Linked DNA regions of Oryctolagus cuniculus. The protein of the gene in region 2 binds, or shares a complex with, the protein of the main gene of each other region. Links are inferred from orthologs where the notes say so. Each region holds a gene or a part of one and is shown on either strand. Other genes may lie near its edges.

Region 1 (3,648 bases), on a different chromosome or scaffold from region 2:
CTGCAGTGCCAGCATCCCATATGGGCACCAGTTCAAGTGCCAGCTGCTCCACTTCCGATACAGCTCTCTGCTATGGACTGGGGAAGCAGTAGAAGATGGCCCAAGTCCTTGGGTCCCTGCACCCACATGGGAGACTGGAAGAAGCTCCTGGCTCCCGGCTTCAGCTAGCTGTAGCTCCAAACATTGCGACCAAGTGCGGAGTGAACCAGCAGATGGAAGACCTCTCTCTCTCTCTGCCTCTCCTTCTCCTCTCTCTATATAACTATGACTTTCAAATAAATAAATAAATCTTTAAAAAATACAAGTTGAATGCCCAATTTTTTCTATCCACTTTGAAATTTTGCTTCAAAGCACATCATATCTGTGACTTGTTATTACTAGAATATATATTTTGAATATCAATTGTGATAATATCCTTATTTAAAAGTTAGCTACTAATGCATCAAAATTAAGCCTTACATTTCAGGAAACTCATTCATTTCACATAAAATAAAATCTTTTGCTTCTCACCTCTGAACGTAAACTATCCTCACCCTTAGCGATACTTTCCATTCTCATTTCCTGTAACAGATAAAATGAAAAGAATACTTTGAACATACTTCATTTTGCTTCACATTAATTTCCAAGCATTTTTATTTTTACCAATGCTATATTCAACCTAAAGCCAAATTCTATCAGTCTTTGAAGAGTGATCTGAATGTACTTAACACAAAATCACAGACCTTGACTTTATTTACTTTTATTGTATTTACTTTATTTTTTTTATTTACTACTCTATTGTGGGGAGCAACTCCAACTAGACTAAGTTACTGGAATTAAGACTTATTCTATGCATCTGCTCTCCCACAATATGGCACTGGGAGAGGAGTAAACAGCTTCTACACAGCTGCCTCTCACCAACTTGACAAGCTGCAGGACCTGCTCCTGATTGGAGGAGAGCAGCGTGCTCGGCGTGTGGGTAGCAGAGTTGGGATTGGTGGAAGAGGACTATAAAGGAGGAGAGAGACAACATGCACCAGGAACATCTATCTGAAGGAACACCTGTGCGGCCCCCGAGAGAGCCGGCCGGCGGTGTGCCGCTCCCCCACGGAAGTGGGGAAAGTGGCAGGGAGGCCCGCCCCTCCACGGAGGTGGAGGGACGGCAGCCAACCCGGGAAGGACCAGCAGCAAACCCGGGAAGGGCCAAGCAGACAAAAGAACAGCGCAGGGTCCTGTGTCGTTCCTCCGCGAAGAGGGGGAGCGACACTCTATAGTAATAGAAGATAACTATGTTTCATATATAATTAAATAAAACTTTTTTGAAAGACTATTTCAAAGACAGAGTGACAGAGAAGAAGAGACAGTGAGACAGAAATCCTCCATGCTGGTTTACTCTCCAAAGGACCACACTGGCTGGGTTGGGACCAGCCAAAGCCAGGAGCCAGGAACCCCACCCTGGTCTCCCACACATGTTGGCCATCTTCCTCTGCCCTCCCAGGCCATTAGCAGGAAGCTGGATCAGAAGTGAAGCAGTCAGGGCAGGCGCCGCGGCTCACTAGGCTAATCCTCCACCTGCGGCGCTGGCACCCCGGGTTCTAGTCCCAGTTGGGGCACCGGTTCTGTCCCGGTTGCTCCTCTTCCAGTCCAGATCTCTACTGTGGCCCGGGAGGGCAGTGGAGGATGGCCCAAGTGCTTGGGCCCTGCACCCCATGGGAGACCAGGAGGAAGCACCTGGCTCCTGCCTTCGGATCAGCGCGGTGTGCCGGCCATAGCAGCCATTTGGGGGGTGAACCAACGGAAAAGGAAGACTTTTCTCTCTGTCTCTCTCACTGTCTAACTCTGCCTGTCAAAAAAAAATCTGCATGAAAACATGTTAAATGTAAATTATTGTTGCTAATACATCTAACATACTACTGTCTCAGAGATCAAAAACCCTCAGTATTTCAAAGAACTTAATATATCTTCAAACAAAACATTTATAAAACTTCAAATTACCTTCTCCAGTTGTTCTTGAGCTCTCTGCAGTTCCTCTATTCTCTGTCTCTCCTTTTCTTGCATTTCCAACTCCAGCTGGAGCGCCAGCTGTTGCTGAACATTCAGAAATACATAAGTCAGATTACAGTCAGATTAAGTGCAAGGAATTAACACTGTAACTTTTAAATGTTCCAGGGTAATTATGTTATACCCACTGAAATTTCAGCAACTCACAAAAATAAATGGTCACAGTCACTTAATATTTTAGGTTCTACAAGTATTTCATGAAGTACAGGATTTTTTTTAAAAAAGAAGCTTTCTTAACTGCTAATTTTGGAAACTACAATTTGGACAAAATGAAGTCACTTCTTTGTTCTTGAAGCTACAAATGAGACTGCACCAATTTCTCTAGATAAAATAAATGAATATTCAAATAGCCAAATCTTGGTTGCAGAACAGTAGGTGAGGAAATCTTAAGAATATTATCTGAACCGTGAATAACCAACAATATATGTTGCGCTAAAATTGGGGTCAGCAATACAGTCTAGGGGCCAAATCTGACTCAAATTGTCCAGCCCATAAGCTAGGAATGGCCTTTACACCATGCTCATGTTCATCTTATTTGCTTATGTATGGCCTACAACTGCTTTTACTTCCAACAGAGACCATATGAGGTGCTAACATTGTTTTGCACGTCTGCTCAGTCCACTGGCTGCAAATCACAATGACAATGTTATAAATCAATGGGATTTGCAGTACCTCAGTATAACTAACATGCACATTTTTATTTTAATTATACCCATCAACCAAAACAAGAAAAGTGAACTCTGAACGTCACACTTTTAAGGCACAATGGAGTATGGATTATTCTGTTGTCCATTTTTACATTTATTTCATCGGGAGGCAGAGAGGCAGAGAGATAGGGACAGAGGTCTCCCATCTGCCGATTCAATTTCCAAATGCCAGGAACTCAATCCAGGTCTCCCACATGGGTGGCAGGGACCCAAGTACTTGAGCTATCACCTGCTGCCTCCCAGGGTACACATTGGCAGGAAGCTAGGATTGGGAGCAGGACCGACTCTTGAACCCAGGCACTCTGATATGGGATGCAAGCATCCCAAGCACAGTCTTCATCGCTACACTAAATGCCTGTCCCATATTTTGTTATCAAATGAAACAGAAAAATATTGCTTTGGGGCCAGCGCTGTGGCACAGCAGGTTAACACCATAGCCTGAAGTGCCGACATCCCATGTGGGCACCAGTTCGAGTCCCGGCTGCTCCACTTCAGATCCAGCTCTCTGCTATGGCCTGGGAAAGCAGTAGAAGATGGCCCAAATCCTTGGGCCCCTACACCCACATGGGAGACCTGGAAGAAGCTCCTGGCTCCTGGCTTCAGATGGGTGCAGTTCCCAGCCGTTGAAGCCAATTGGGGAGTGAACCAGCGGATGGAAGACCTCTCTCTCTCTCTCTCTCTCTCTCTCTCTGCCTCTCCTCTGTCTGTGTAACTCTGACTTTCAAGTAAAATAAATAAATCTTTTAAAAAAATATGGCTTTTATTATATAGCACTGTACTAAAGAATGTGGTATCAACATAAGCACTCATTCACAATATTCTCAACTCATATGAAAGCAAAAGCAATAAAAAGTAGAAAATTCAAAATAGAAGTATCCCATGTATTTTTTCACAAGATTTA
Region 2 (3,946 bases):
ACGTTTGAGAAGGAAGGGGACCAGGTGAGGGCGGGACTCTATGATCCAGGCCTAGGGGACCAGGTGGGGGGAGGGTGAGGGGACCAGGTGAGGCGGTGGGAGGGAGCTGCCTGACTCCATCACCCAGGCCCAAGGGGCGGGAAGACTGAGAGGGAAGGAGCCCTGGGCCCGTGGGGAGGTCAGGACACAGAGTGAGTGGGATGAGCCCTAATGTCCTTTGTGACCCTCTGGGGGCCCAGGGATTATTCCCATTTTACAGAGTGGGAAACTCGGGCCAGAGAGGTCAGGGACCTACTCGGGAGAAGAGCAGAGGGGTGGAAGGAGAAGCGCACTTCGACCCGGCGCTCTTCCTGGCTGGCTCCAGCGCTGCCCTGAGTAAGCCCAGCTGCAGCAGCTGCTCGGAGGCCGCTGACTGACAGCAGTTGGAAGTCAGGCACTGATTTAAAGAAAGGGAGAACCGAAGTCCAAAGACGAGGCTGAGAGCCGGAGCACCCAGAGAAGAGAAACAGATTCCTGTGCCCGCAGCTCTTGCCCCCGTCCTCACCTGTAAAACAGCTGTTCCCAAAAGACACCCTTCAAGATCCAGATGCTGGGGCCAGCACTGTGGCACAGGGGGTTACAGCCCTGGCCTGCAGCGCCGGCATCCTATATGGGCGCCGGTTCGGCGAGTCCCTACTGCTCCACTTCTGGTTCAGCTCCCTGCTAATGCGCCTGGGAGATCAGTGGAGGATGAGCCAAGTGCTTGGGCCTTTCCACCCATGTGGGAGACCCAGAAGAAGCTCCCCACTCCTGGCTTCAGATCAGCTCAGCTCTGAGCAACCATTAAGGCCATTTTGGGAGTGAGCCAGTGGATGGAAGACTTCTGTCTTTTAAATAAATACAATCTTAAAAAAAAAAAAAAAAGCAGCTGCTATGTTTCTGCCTCTGGGCAGCCTTTCCTGACCTCCCCTTGGGTATGGGCTTCCTTTATGTGCTTCCTTTTAGCACAGCCTGGAGTGTGCCCCCCCAAAGTGTCTGCCCCTGCTAGGCTGAGGGGCCAGACTGATCTGGGCAGGGTTTTGCTGCCTGCCACCTGAGAGCGTCTGTTTTGGGCATGCTCAGTAGGGGAGAAGGAACAGGTGGGGGTTAGAATCTATCCATGTGGACGATTCTCACCACAGGGGCTGCGGGGTCCAGACTGAAAAGGCCCTTCTAGAAAACCTGGTCTCAGCTTCCCATCGTGCAGAGGGGGACATGGGGACAGGTAGAGGCAGGAACTTGCCAAGGACACTCGGCCAGTTAGTCCCTCTCACCGCTCGGCCTCTCCTGCCTAGGGCCCCAACGTCATCCCAGCGGACATCGTCTTCTACGTGAAGGAGAAGCTACACCCTCGCTTCCGCAGGGAGAAGGACAACCTCATCTTTGTGAACCCCATCCCTTTGGGCAAGGTGAGCGGGCAGGAGGTTGGGGACCAGGGTGGGACCTGCCAGCCCTCCCCTCCCCCCACCCTCTGCCAGCTGTCACTTGGTCCTGGGGACTCCACCCCAAATTTCCCTGCACTTCCATCCCCTCCCCTCATCCCCACCATCCAGGCCTGGGCGCCCACCGCCCATCTCAGCGCCTCTAGAGCCTGCAGGGGCCTTCACAAACTCCCCTCTGATGCTGCCACACCCCTGCCTCCACAGCTTCGGCCCTGTGCACCTCCTGCCCTGCCCTGTAGGCCCCGTGTCTCCTGACACTGCTGCCTGTGGGGCTGTTTCCACACCTCCACGCTCTCATTGCTGTGGCTCCTCCGCCTACCTCCCGCTGTGGGGCCGGCCATCATCAACTGGTGCCACCCTGTGCACCAGCATGGCCTCGGGGTCTCTCCTTGGCTCCCGCAGGCCCCTTTTATTTCCATCTCTACCCTAGCACTTTTACTACATCGGTGTCACTTTGACCTGCCAGACTGAACTCCTGGAGGGGAGCTCGTCTGGGTCACTCACCTGGTAGTTGTCTGTCTCCCTGGTGCCCAGCTCAGGGCCTGGCACTGAATAGGATCATGAAAGCCCTTTAAAAAAAAAGATTATTTATGTGAAAGGCAGAGTTACAGAGAGAGAGAGAAAGAAAGAAAGGGGGAGACACACACACACAGAGAAAGATCCTCCATCTGCTGCTTCACGCCCCAAATGGCTGCAACAGCCAGAGCTGAGCCAGGCCAAAGCCAGGAGCCAGGAGCTTCCTCCATGTCTCCCACCCAGCTAGCTGGGCCCAAGCATTTGGGCCATGCTCTGCTGCTTTCCCAGGTGCATTAGCAGGGAGCTGGATCAGAAGTAGAGCAGCCGGGACTTGAACCGGGGTCCATATGGGATGCTGGCGCTGCAGGCCACAGCTTTACCCACATCGCCAGCCCCAGATGATGAAAGGCCTTCTAGGTAGGACGGCCACGGAGACCCTCCCCACTCACCTCCCCAGGCTCTCACCTGCTGCACGGTGGAGGTGAAGACCCTAGACGACCGGCTGCTCAACATCCCTATCAACGACATCGTCCAGTGAGTCCAGCTGCCTTGGGCCCCAGTAGCCAAGAGAAGGGCTGGCCGGCCGGGGACACAGGGGAGAGTGTCAGAGAGGTCTGCCCAGCACCACTGTGCAGGCTGCACCCAGCCCCGGAGTCCCATCCTGAGAGGGCAGGAGGGGACTAAGGGCCGGCCCACACTGTGACCCAGCTGTGAGCTTCATGCACCTGGCAGAAGGAATACCTGACTCGCACAGAGCCGCTGTGGAGGCTGGAGGTCCCCTTCCACGCGGGGCTAGCCCCCTGCTGCCTCCACCCTCTGAACTTCTTGTTTCCCAGAGTCCTTCTCCAAGGAAAGCTGTCTGCCTGGGAAGGTTTGCCCTGCAGCCCGACACCATCACCCAGCCCCAGGGTCTGCTCACCCTTCTCTTGCCCAGTTTCCTGGACCAAAGACAGGATGCCTGGGCTCCTCCCCCAGGGACCCTGTGGACGGGGGTGGGGGGTGGGGGGGGTGGGTTTCCCAGGGAGTACGTGATTTGTCCCTGGGAGAGGGGTGGCCTGGGCCCACTGGGGGCACTGCTATACTGTGCTCCCTGAACCTGCTCCCTCCATCTCCCACCTCAGCCCCAAGTACTTTAAGAAGGTGCCGGGCGAGGGCATGCCCCTGCCAGAGAACCCCGATGAGAAGGGCGACCTCTTCATCTTCTTCGACATCCAGTTCCCCACCCGCCTCACGCCACAGAAGAAGCGGATGCTGCGCCAGGCACTGCTGACCTAGCTCTGCGGGCTCGGGCTGCAGGGGACGGAGGACGCCAGTGGGGCCTGATCCAGCCCTGCCCCACAGCAGCAGCGCCCCCTGCACATATGTGACCTGGTGCCTTACACATAATAAAGGTTTATTTCCTGACCTGGAGCTACACGCAGGAGAGTGTATTGGAGAGGAGCTTCCTACATCCCTTCTGGTGGGGTGGGGGGAGCAGCCAAGCACCTGGTCCCTGTGGGGAGCAGCTCGGACTAGACTGTTACTGGAATTAAGACTTATTCTATGCATCTGCTCTCCCACAATATGGCGCTGGGAGAGAAGAAAACAGCTTCTACACAGCTGCCTCCAGTTCAACCAATAAACTGTAGGACTTGCTCCTGATTGGAGAGCAGCGTACTCGGCGTGTGGGCAGCCGAGTTAGGATTGGCAGAGGAGGACTATAAAGGAGGAGAGAGACGGCATGCACCAGGGAACATCTAAGGGGAACATCTAGCTGAAGGAACACCTGTGCAGCCCCCGAGAAAGCCGGCCGGCGGTGTGCCGCTCCCCTGTGGAAGTGGGGAATGTGGCCAGGGGGAACTGCCCTTCCACGGAGGTGGAAGGGATAGTAGCCAACCCGGGAAGAACCAGCAGCAAACCCGGGGAGGGCCGAGCAGACGAAAGAACAGCGCAGGGTCCTGTGTCGTTCCTCCACGAAGAGGGGGAGCGAC

Evidence for each region. Proteins that work in one complex are often made in the same cells at the same time.
Region 1: DNAJB13 (region 2) and DYDC1 share a complex: the UniProt entries of both Homo sapiens proteins name them as parts of the axonemal radial spoke complex. The link is inferred for Oryctolagus cuniculus from reciprocal best matches to the Homo sapiens genes DNAJB13 and DYDC1.

What each region holds. Positions count from the first base shown.
Region 1 is NC_091446.1:71,137,898-71,141,545, forward strand, and holds part of DYDC1 (DPY30 domain-containing protein 1), read right to left. Parts: intron 2,068-3,648; coding exon 1,975-2,067; intron 562-1,974; coding exon 511-561; intron 1-510. UniProt on the Homo sapiens protein: Functions as part of axonemal radial spoke complexes that play an important part in the motility of sperm and cilia. Plays a crucial role during acrosome biogenesis.
Region 2 is NC_091432.1:65,266,676-65,270,621, forward strand, and holds the end of DNAJB13 (dnaJ homolog subfamily B member 13), read left to right. Parts: coding exon 1-24; intron 25-1,313; coding exon 1,314-1,427; intron 1,428-2,433; coding exon 2,434-2,510; intron 2,511-3,097; coding exon 3,098-3,251; 3' UTR 3,252-3,386; downstream 3,387-3,946. UniProt on the Homo sapiens protein: Functions as part of axonemal radial spoke complexes that play an important part in the motility of sperm and cilia.